2 linked regions of the Oryzias latipes genome follow. The protein of the gene in region 2 binds, or shares a complex with, the protein of the main gene of each other region. Links are inferred from orthologs where the notes say so. Each region holds a gene or a part of one and is shown on either strand. Other genes may lie near its edges.

The links. Proteins that work in one complex are often made in the same cells at the same time.
Region 1: the proteins of mut (region 2) and mmaa are in contact, whole or in part, in a crystal structure (PDB 8GJU), measured with the Homo sapiens proteins. The link is inferred for Oryzias latipes from reciprocal best matches to the Homo sapiens genes MMUT and MMAA. Residues at the interface, in NP_000246.2 of Homo sapiens: Lys496, Glu609, Arg610, Glu611, Gly612, Arg613, Arg614, Arg616, Ala635, Thr636, Ala639, Asp640, Gly642, Phe643, Asp644, Val645, Asp646, Ile647, Gly648, Pro649, Leu650, Phe651, Gln652, Glu656, Gln659, Gln660, Val662, Asp663, Ala664, Asp665; in NP_001362573.1 of Homo sapiens: Arg98, Ala99, Ala102, Glu103, Thr106, Glu109, Ser110, Thr111, His112, Ser182, Ser186, Gly187, Gly188, Ser189, Leu190, Leu191, Lys194, Thr195, Met197, Thr198, Ser201, Arg202, Met204, Tyr207, Ile208, Arg209, Pro210, Ser211, Pro212, Arg214.

What each region holds. Positions count from the first base shown.
Region 1 is NC_019859.2:18,379,248-18,383,543, reverse strand, and holds part of mmaa (methylmalonic aciduria type A protein, mitochondrial), read right to left. Parts: intron 4,164-4,296; coding exon 4,041-4,163; intron 3,885-4,040; coding exon 3,714-3,884; intron 3,213-3,713; coding exon 3,127-3,212; intron 2,078-3,126; coding exon 1,928-2,077; intron 849-1,927; coding exon 564-848; 3' UTR 1-563. UniProt on the Homo sapiens protein: GTPase, binds and hydrolyzes GTP. Involved in intracellular vitamin B12 metabolism, mediates the transport of cobalamin (Cbl) into mitochondria for the final steps of adenosylcobalamin (AdoCbl) synthesis.
Region 2 is NC_019882.2:3,015,597-3,021,781, reverse strand, and holds the start of mut (methylmalonyl-CoA mutase, mitochondrial), read right to left. Parts: upstream 3,710-6,185; 5' UTR 3,583-3,709; intron 3,577-3,582; exon of another isoform or gene 3,461-3,576; intron 2,922-3,460; 5' UTR 2,898-2,921; coding exon 2,501-2,897; intron 2,134-2,500; coding exon 1,766-2,133; intron 1,692-1,765; coding exon 1,534-1,691; intron 1-1,533. Other genes in the region: peptidyl-prolyl cis-trans isomerase FKBP1B, read right to left, coding at 5,083-5,211, 5,356-5,468. UniProt on the Homo sapiens protein: Catalyzes the reversible isomerization of methylmalonyl-CoA (MMCoA) (generated from branched-chain amino acid metabolism and degradation of dietary odd chain fatty acids and cholesterol) to succinyl-CoA (3-carboxypropionyl-CoA), a key intermediate of the tricarboxylic acid cycle.

The sequences.
Region 1 (4,296 bases), on a different chromosome or scaffold from region 2:
GAAATGCAAAGAAAGAAGAAACAAAAAAAGGAAACGGGAAAAGGGAGCTATTATGGGAAATCACAGATTGGATGATGACGTTATTTGGCACAGCCATATCTCCCAGACAGTATTTCTTTCAGCTTCTGGCCACACCCACTGCAGAAGTTCAGCGATTATCCAATGCTGCTTTACCTTTTTTTCCAAACTCAAACGTCGTCATCCGATCAGCAATGTTCCATGGCACCTACCTCTTCCAGTTTCTTATTTGGTTTCATTTTTTAAGATTTTATTTAGATTTCTGGAAATTCCTTTTGTTTTACAAAACATTTTTTTTATGTTTTCATTTATCAAATGTAATGTTACTTTTTTTTATTCTCCGTTTTGCTTTTCTAATTGTCATTGTGAGCTTTAACGTGTTTTTGCGTTGAGTGATTTGCACTTCAGGGCCACCGTACAAAGGGGAGGTCTTGTCACACAGCATGAGGTAAAGGCTTTCTTTTGTGTGGGTCGCACATGTTCACTCTGTAACTTGGGACCAGCAGCAAAACCTGCTTGCATCCCACGGCGTTCCGGCCTGCTGCTCACTGTGCAGAGAAGGCTTTAAGGAGCAGGTCAGCAGCCAGTCCAGGAGAGACGACTCCTCTGGTGACCTTCTCCTCCAGGTCAGGTAGAGCCTCCTTGACTTTTGGGTGATTTTGGAAATGACAGAGGACGTTCTCCTGGATCAAAGTCCACATCCACACCTTTTGCTGGGCCCTCCGTCTGTCCTGCAGCTCGCCGCTGCTCAGCATGGCGTGCCTGTAGGACTCCATCTTGGCCCAGACTTCTGGGATGCCCTCAGAGGTGTAGGAGGAGGCGTGCACCACCTTTGGATGAAGTTTGTGATTGGGAAAGTGGGGTTTCATAAAACAGGGTATTTAACTACATCCTCACTTTTGTTAAGGGCTTCTTCTTATTGATCATCTCACTTTTGTGCTACAAATGTTCATAAAACGCCTGCTGCTGCAAGAATCTGCTGACAAGAGCTTCTGCCTTAAGTGCATTCATTTGTCATAATAAATGGCATAATGTAAAGTACAGTTTGGCAAAGAATGGATTACAAACGATTTAGAGAGTTTCTGTCAACATCATTAAGAGGACACTTTAATGAGAACTGCTCTTTAGTCCAATAAAGAAAAAGTTATTCCATGCACCAGAAATGGACTTTTACTAAAGTCACTGTTCATTCAGACTTTAAACATTGGGACCAGGAAAGACCACGGCCTGCAAAGTAGATCCTGTTTCAGAAACATAACCAACATCTCAGTATGATAACGCAAAAAACAAAAAGCTTCTATGTGTGGAACTAATCTGTTGTCTGGGGAACTGCCAACATCTGAAATGTCTTCCAGGTTTGGGCTGCATGGCACTTTCATCTTAGAGTCGCTTTTTTACTTTTTGCTGACGTCTATTATTCACCAGAAAACATCATCTCTCTTTGCCCACAAAAGTGAACAGTTTCAAATACAGTTAGAAAGAAATCTGCTCCACTGTCCAACCAGAAAGTTCTTTTAAAAAAACAGGATTTTTTGTTCTGAGTTTGAAGATGGAGTTTCAGAGTTTTCCTTTGTCCGTTTGTTTCCCAGGACAGGAAGAGTTTACAAAGCTGATATGCCATTTCAGAGGTTTGCTTGTGGGGCAGCCTGGTTCACATTCATAAATAACAAACACAAGGCTGACCCTGAAGGATGAAGCTGCCGGCGATTTCAGATTTTTGTGATGCTTTCAGCTCAGCACAATGTTACTGTGAGCTCTTCCAGTTTCACAGGCTGCTGTGCGGTTTAAGTGCAGTTTGTGTGGTGAAACACCGTCGTGATCATTCTGATCACAGTGTGTTTGAAATAATCAACAGGAAACTGCAAGTGGTAAAAAAGAAAGTCTCATCTGAACCAGCAAATTCACACACCTTAGTGTTCCAGGATTTAGTCCTTCTCCTCAGCAGCTTCAGCGCGCTGGTGTAATCCGTCTGGATTCTTCTGGCCGGCACCACAAGGTCACCATCTGACTTTGTCACCACAACCAGGTCTGCCCTCTCAATGATGCCCCTCTTGATGCCCTGGACAAAGACCTAAGCTTTAAAACCACACTTTAGGTCTGGTTTCTTTACTGCCTGTCCAGTTTATAGACGTCATCTTTTATGTTTCAGCTCTTCTGTTGTTCTTCACCACACTTTACTTATGCAAATATTTTAAATCTGTACTATGTGTATCTGGGGGATACTGCTGGTGGTTATAGGTTGGCACATTCAGCCATCAGTGAGTGAATGGAGCTGTGACTGTAAAGCACTGTGGGCCTTTATAGTTATATAGGGCCAGAAAATGCATAGAAGAAAAAGGAAACGACATCAGAGATATATGAACATTCGAAATGGTTTAAAGAAAGACGTCAAATGTTTCAGATTGCAGATGGTTTTATAGAGAAGATGAAGGAAAAACACGTCCTGGACTATCAATTTAGTGGAAATCAACTATTTTGTAGGATTCAGAAAGTTAAAGGGCATTGTGTTCTACATCTACAATGAATAAACAAAAACATGTTTGTTCTCAGCACAAAAAAGCAAGATCAGTTTACAAAAGAACTGATATCTGCAGGCAGACAACTCTGACCGAAAACTGTTTATCCGCTTCGTTCATCGCCGTCCTGATCAAAGTATGACCCTATGTGTCACAAGAGTGAGAGCGAAGAAGACAAATACGTCTGCATGAAAGCAAAGCAAAGCATCAGAAATAAATGCAAGTTTGTTTCTATAAAAGGTCAGAAAAATGAGATACTTGTCTGTTGCTTTATAAAAGAGCAAAAAATAACTTCTGGATTCTTGTGACGGCTTGTTGGACAATGTGGGCGGTCCTAAAAAAGCGGATTGATCACATTAGGAAGGAGAGACAGAAATAAAAAGATTTGAGTCAAACGCTGATGTTTTTACATTAAACTCCAGGTTGTTAAATACAATTATGATAAATTGATGCAGTTTCATTTTCAGCCATTACAACAGAGAACAAACATGAGTGATATACATAAACCCTCAAAGCTCCATGTCTCGTCCGCCGCTGAACAAGACCAGAGGTTTGAGGAAAAAAAAAAAAAGGTGATGTTCCTCGAACCCACCTGGAGTTCATCGCCCCCTGCTGGTGGAATCAGAAGCACAAACATGTCCACCATGTCGGCTACAGCAAATTCAGACTGTCCGACACCTGGGAAAAAAAAAAAAAAATATATATATATATATACATATTGTTGCTGCCTAGAAATGAACAAATAAATCATGTCAATCTAAATTTATTCATACCCCCCCTCCTCAATCTAATTAAGTCTCCTGATCGGTTACATTAGCACATATTCTGTTGCACGCCTGTACAGTGAGAGTAAAATCATGCAAATTTTAATCAAGACTTCCTGAAAAGCTGAAAAAATGCTTTTGAATAATCATGAGCTTGGACAAACTTGAGATTCCTCACAGTGAATAAATTTCCTCCTTGAAAAAAAAAAAAGCAGTTCTGATGCGCAGATGAGACTGGCACAAATTCGTCCCTAATAGTTTCACTCAAGACCGCAAGAGAGTCAGAAGTACCGCGAATCCTTTTTGGACAGCTACTTCCTACTTTTTATGAAGCCGTCCAAACAACATTACAATTATCTTTAGGCTAATAAACATGATGCTGCGGCGGAGGAAGGACATTTGGGATGAGGCTCACCTACGGTCTCCACGAGGATCACGTCGTAGCCCGCCCCCTCACAGAGAACAATGGCCTCATTAGTGGTTCTGGTGACACCGCCGAGCGTCCCTGAGGTCGGCGACGGTCTGATAAAAGCATTCATGTCTCGAGAAAGCTCAGTCATGCGAGTTTTATCGCCCAGCAGGGAGCCTGCAGAAGCATTGGAGTCGGTGAATGACTTCTGCTTAAAGAGCTAATTAGGAGAAGAACTCATGAAACTGTGATGTAGATGAAAGGTGTCAACTCTTTAAAAAAAACGTGACAAACTTTGCATTAGTTCTGACAAAAAGTGTGGTCAGATGTTACCTCCTGTGGTGCATGAGGACGGGTCAACAGCCAGGACAGCCACTTTGTGACCACGCCCCGTTAACATTTTCCCCACTACCTCAATGAAGGATGACTTCCCAGCACCAGGGGGACCAGAAAGCCCTGACAAATCAGAACAGAGAAAGAGCACTCATCCAACCCTTTTCTGAATCCCTTCCGGGGTTGCTGGGGTCAAATCCAGCTACCTTTGGGCACAGGCAGGGTACACCCCGGACAGGTTGCCTTCAATTTACCT
Region 2 (6,185 bases):
AGCTTAAATTTGTATTTCTTTATTCAAATCATAGTGAATCAGCAGCAGAGGGGGAAAAAGCAGTTTTTGTGAAAAAATATGCACATTGGTCCCGCCCACAACTCACAGGTGAATTTCTAATGAACTCCTGCCGCTCTGCAGAAACTATGTCCTAGAAAATTTAAAATACCCCTAAATAAAAGACCACCAGGAATACTATAAATGGATCCAAAGATGATCTGAGTAAAGCTGTTACCCAACAGCTGCATAAATATATAACAGCACTTCACTTACTTTTTAGTTTAACGTTAAAACATAAAGTATTTAGAACATATCCTCAGTTTCAACATGGAAAAGCTTTTAACTTTATATCAAAAACGACATTAAATATTGCAAAGAGTAATAGGAACTAATCTAGTATATATGTGAAAAAGAATCCACAACAAAAAGTTCTAAAATGAGTAAAATCGACGGGGACTTTTCAGTTGCAGCTCCTAAACTCTGGAACGCTCTCTCCTTTTCTGTGAGGTCTGCCAGAACCATCAGGAATATGAAGACACTTTTATAAACTCAACTTCTTACTAAGGCTTTGAACTCCAGTGAGCGGATCTAGTGGGCCAGCTTGTTAGTTTTATTATTTTATTGCTTTTACGTTTTATTGCTATTGTTTCTTCATTCAGTCATATTGTTTGTGATTTTATTTAATTTTATATGATAAAAAGGAGTTTCTCCCACGTAAATGTAAAGGTCAGATCAGAGTCAGGCTGAACAAAGTCTAAGAAACCAATTATTAGGAAGATAATAAGTGTATGCGAGTCCTGATCAGCAGGGAAAGGTCAAGGACTGAAGCGATGGTCCTGAGGTTTAAGTTTGAGAACCCTGATGCATTAAAAGCTGCTGTTTTTGTGGAGTCGCATGTTTTCTACCAACTCAGATGCTATTTCCTTAGATGCTCTGTGTGATGTGGAGCAAATTCGAATAAAAGAGCTTGGCAGATTAACGGTGAGTAAAAGCAAAATTGGCAGTGGAAAATCACTGAAAACGCATGACTTTTTCAGCATTTTTCATAACTATAAAATGTTATACCACTGCCAGTGCGTTGCATCATCTGGACACATATTCATAGCAGACATGTCTGTGTTAAAACCAAAAACCTTTTGACTGAAACATTTCACAAGAGCAATCTGAGACGATCAGTGTTAAAGAAAAAAAGTCCAACTGGTCTGAGAAGCAGACAGATCGGCTCTGCTGATCGTCTGCTCCTGATTCACAACAATTTGAATAAAAAGAAATCCTCAGAGATGCAATTTTACGCTTGATGTTCTTTATGAATGTCCTCCATCATGAGGAGAATGCCACAAAAACCAAAAACACATTTTTTTTTATTGAAGTGGGTCTTTTAATAGTCTCAGTTGGAGATATTTTTATGAAGGAAAAAGTGTAACTTGGTTCAAAAAGGTTGAAAAAAACTGGTCTGTATATTTGATGATTCAACATACATCCACTTCTAAGCATATGTTTGCACTCATTGGCGTTTTGCTTAATTTTTGGTACCTTGGGGCAAATTCGTCGATGGTTAAACCTGCTTTCAGTCCCGTCCGGCAATACTCCAGCCCGTTGGCGATAGTGTAGGCCAGCTCCAGGATGGCATCCGCCCCGGCCTCCTGAAGGTGGTAGCCACTGATGGAGATGGAGTTGAACTTGGGCATGTTCTTGGATCAAGAAACATCGTTTTTTACATTTATGATAACATTATAAAAGGTACAAAATCAAAAGTGCTGCTTACCTTGGAGGTATAAGCAAAGATGTCGGCTATGGCATGCATGGAAGGTTCCGGAGGGAAGATATACGTGTTGCGTACCATGAATTCTTTTAAAATGTCATTTTGAATAGTGCCGGTTAGCTTCTCTTTGGGAACGCCCTGCTCCTCTCCAGTCACGATAAACATGGCCAGAACTGGGATGACGGCGCCGTTCATGGTCATCGACACGGACATCTTCTCCAGAGGGATTTCATCAAAGAGCAGCTTCATGTCCTCCACCGAGTCTATGGCTACTCCGGCCATGCCCACATCCCCGTGGACTCTGGGGTTGTCCGAGTCGTAACCACGGTGAGTTGGGAGGTCAAAAGCCACGGAGAGGCCCTGCTGGCCGGCTGAAACGACAAAACCAAAAGATGTCAATTTAATTTGGACTGCTTTACTTTAAATACAATCTTCAAAATATGGGAATATTTAGAAATATTTCTTCTATTTTTAAGGTTTCGTTAAATAAAACATGAAAGTAGACACACAATTATTGAGATTAATACCCCCGAAACAGGGCAGTTTGCACTTACTATGAATATTTTATTTACTTTAAAAAAAAATTATACAATGCCCATCCTTTAAGTGAAGACTATTTAAATACCTTTAAGAAACAAACTAGAATCATACAATTCATATTTTAGACACAACAATGGGACCCAAAATGCAGATTAAAATATCTAATTCCAATATTTGTGTTATATGAAAACAATATACCTTTAATGTTATCTTTATAGAATTTGTTGCTCTCCTCCACGGTGCTAAAGCCAGCATACTGCCTGATTGTCCATGGTCTGTATGTGTACATTGTGGGATAGGGCCCTCTAGTGTAGGGAAACGTTCCCGGCAGTTCATCAGCACGTCCCTCTGAGTCAGCCTGAGTGTACACCGGCTTGATGCTGATTCCCTCAGGTGTGCGCCATATTAGATCCTCTGGGTTCTTTCCTTTCAGCTGTTTCTTAGCCAGGCTGGCCCACTCCGGATGCAGCTGGGATCTGTCCCGATGCGACGAGGACGTGTGGATGAGACGGTGGCGTGTGTGGGACGAGGAGGCGGAGGCTTGAAGCAGGCGGCGGGCGGCTAGTGCTGCACATGCTTTGTGTGCAGACAGCATACTTACTGCCGGCTCAGAGATGACCTGAAATTACAGGGAGGGTCATAAGGTCATGACATAGGGACATGACCCATAAGGTCATCCCACCATTCAAGTGAACGAGCCATCATTTCTGCTCAAAAAGACATCATTACTACTATTTATAAAACATTGGTTGGAATATTTATACACTTCCTGTTTTTGATTGTTACAAATAGGAATATCTGCTTACATTTTCCAGAGATGGTGTTGTATTTTGTATATTTTAATGAAAAATCGAAATAATAATATTACAAAGCTACCTAAATAATTTTAGATGCTTAAAATGTGCTAACAATAAAAATGTAGCTTGCAAAGAAGTGTATTATCATGATTTGTGAAGCGTTTGCTCCCCGAATATACAACATTATGACAAACTGCGTCCAAAAAATACAACAACATGTGACAACATTACCAACAGTAATACATTTAGAGACTTGGCTATAAAAGAAATGACACAAAAACTAAAAGACAAAAAAATAAAAGACAAGCAATAAGAAAAACTAACCCGTGAGGGCTAAAGCTAGTCTGCTAACTCTACTTACTTTAGTCAACAAGAACCGTAGTTTAGCTTAAAAAACAACACAAAAACCAGTACGCAAACTAATAAATTTCTTATTTGCAAAACATCGCTTTAAAATAAAAAAATATATAACAATATTCTGACCTTGTAGCTTGTTTTGTTTTTTTCTTATTCGAGTTGGTAGAAGGCGTGCGTTTTCCTGTCCAATGAACTGTAAGCACACTGCGATCGACCAATCCCGTGCTGTGGTCACACGGCATCACCTTTGACCTGCGTCACCGGAAGTAAAGAACTACTTCCGTTTTACAGAAGTTTATTTTTCTAATACATAAAGCTAATTACACATTTGATAAACATTATAAGCATAAGAGGTAGAAAAAGAAATGAGTAAAATCCCTTTCAATAAATGTTTTTAAAGAAACTAAAATATATATATATTGGGTCTTTAATTATATGATAGCAATAAGGCTATTTAGTTTTTTATTTATTTATTTCTTCTAATAGGCAGATCCCTATTTTATTTCTATATTTTATATTTTTCATCTTTATTTTAGCTTTTATTTTATTGTTTTTTATTGTTTGAATTGCCTTTTTTTTAACCTCCAGTGACATCATAGATATGAGTTGATACCATATCATTAGAAATTTGAACAAGAGAAGGTAATTAATGTGCAAAAACAAATAAAGGAAGAACTTTTTATAACTTAGAAAAAAGTATATTGATTCTAAACTGCTGTTTGTGATTAAAGTTCAATAATACTGTGTCTATTAAACTGCCTTCTATTTTCCTTTTACTTTCAAGCAAAAAAATCAAAAACTTAAATAAAATGGTTGATAAATTGCTCAAAAAGGAGTAGGTAGAAGACAAATTGTATTTTTTTTCCCACCACTAAACTTACTATATTATATGCATAGATTATTACATATTATAATTATTCACATAATCACAAAAGAATCAAAGAATAAAAGCTTTAAGGCACCAAAACAACAAAGTCATAATAGTCTATACATTGTCCCATTAGGCTTCTCATTTTCTAAATCTTAATTTCCAAAACCTAAGTTTGTATCGTTTTGATATTTTCCTTCATGTTTTAAGTTATACTTTTGGAGAATATATGTACTGGAAATGCGATTTGATTCATCTTAAAATAAAAACAGGACCCAGACTTCTCAACACAGTACACCCCACTTTTATTTAGGTCATATTGGCTTGAGTGCTGTACAGTATTGGGTTGAAGTTGATCGGGTACACTTGCCGCAAATGTGCATAAAATTTATAAAATAAACTAAAGGTCATTCAGAGCATTCAGCAGGACAACACTTTATCAAAGTGACAATGCAAACAGTTGTGTGTATAATGCCCAGGTAATATACAGAGCAGAGATGTTGTATCTTGAATACATGTCCTCTTCCATTCATCATTTGGTAAGGCAGTTTGTTTCGATTAAGATGAAGAAATCAAAAATGGTGTAAAAGTCTTGGGGTTTCTTTGTAGCAAAATCTATAAGGACAGGATGGCAACAAAGCAGCACAGGACACATGTAAATGCTGAGTTAGAGGACCGTAGAGATCAAAATAAAGGAGGTGGCAACCAGGTGTGGCCCCCTCACTGAAACAACCTTTAGCGTTTTTCTGTTGCAGGCTTCACTCCAGCTTGAGCAGCTCCACGTCAAAAACGAGGGTGGCGTTTGGTGGGATGACCCCGGGATGGCCGGTGGCGCCGTACGCCATATCAGGTGTGCAGGTGATTTTGGCTCTTTGACCGAGGCTCATCTGAGGGCAGGGAATGGGAAAAGAACACAGAGCAATAACTTAGGAGAAGAGGTTCTCAGTTTCCCTGCAAGTGTTGCTATGAAAATACACAAAAAGAGTAAAAACGCCCCAGAAACTTTAGGAATCTAAAGATCAAACTCTTACTTGTGCAACTCCTTCCTCCCAGCCTTTTATGACCTCCATCCGTCCAATCTTGAACTTAAAAGGCTTGTTCCTGTCCCGGGAGGAGTCGAACTTTTTTCCGTTCTGTAACATGCCTGCAAAAATAAACGATAAACACTTTTACTATTTTATTTACCAGATTCTTTGCTGCAAACGCACAGCGAGTTCTTCTGGAGAGGTGTCTTCATCAGTTTCCTTGAATTACTGGGATGAACAAGTCAAATCAGGAAGCACTGGCCTGATTCAGAGCTTTATTTTTAACAGTGAACTAGGCCATTGTCAGGACGCGTCTAGACCACACGGAAAAAAGGAGAAGCACTGCAGGACTCGCCCCTGATAGAAGACGGCAGCGGGTTTTTTAGTTCATTTTTAAGACTATATATTTGATTTTTGTCCTGTTTAGAAGTTAATCAATAAAAGGGAAATAAAAAATAATAATAAAATCCCCCTTCATTTGAAAGCTGTCACACAGTCCTTTATTAAATTCACTGTTAAGCTATTTTCAATGGCAGCTCATAAAGGAATAACTTCCCTGCAAAGGATTTGATCCTTGCAACGATTTCAAACTTGAATGTTTTTAAACATTCAAGATATTTAATCAGGTTTGAACTTCTCGGTGTTTTACACCGTTCCAGGACTGTCTTAAAATCAGAGCTAGGATCCAGAAATTTATTCCAAATTCTTAACAATAGAAAAATTCAATTTAAGCCTCAAAAAACGAATTTTACGCCGTAATTTGGGGTTAGAATGAGTCCTAGTTTAAAATCTGATGAGGATTTATTAGGATGAACCAACTTGTGCAAAGATTTTGT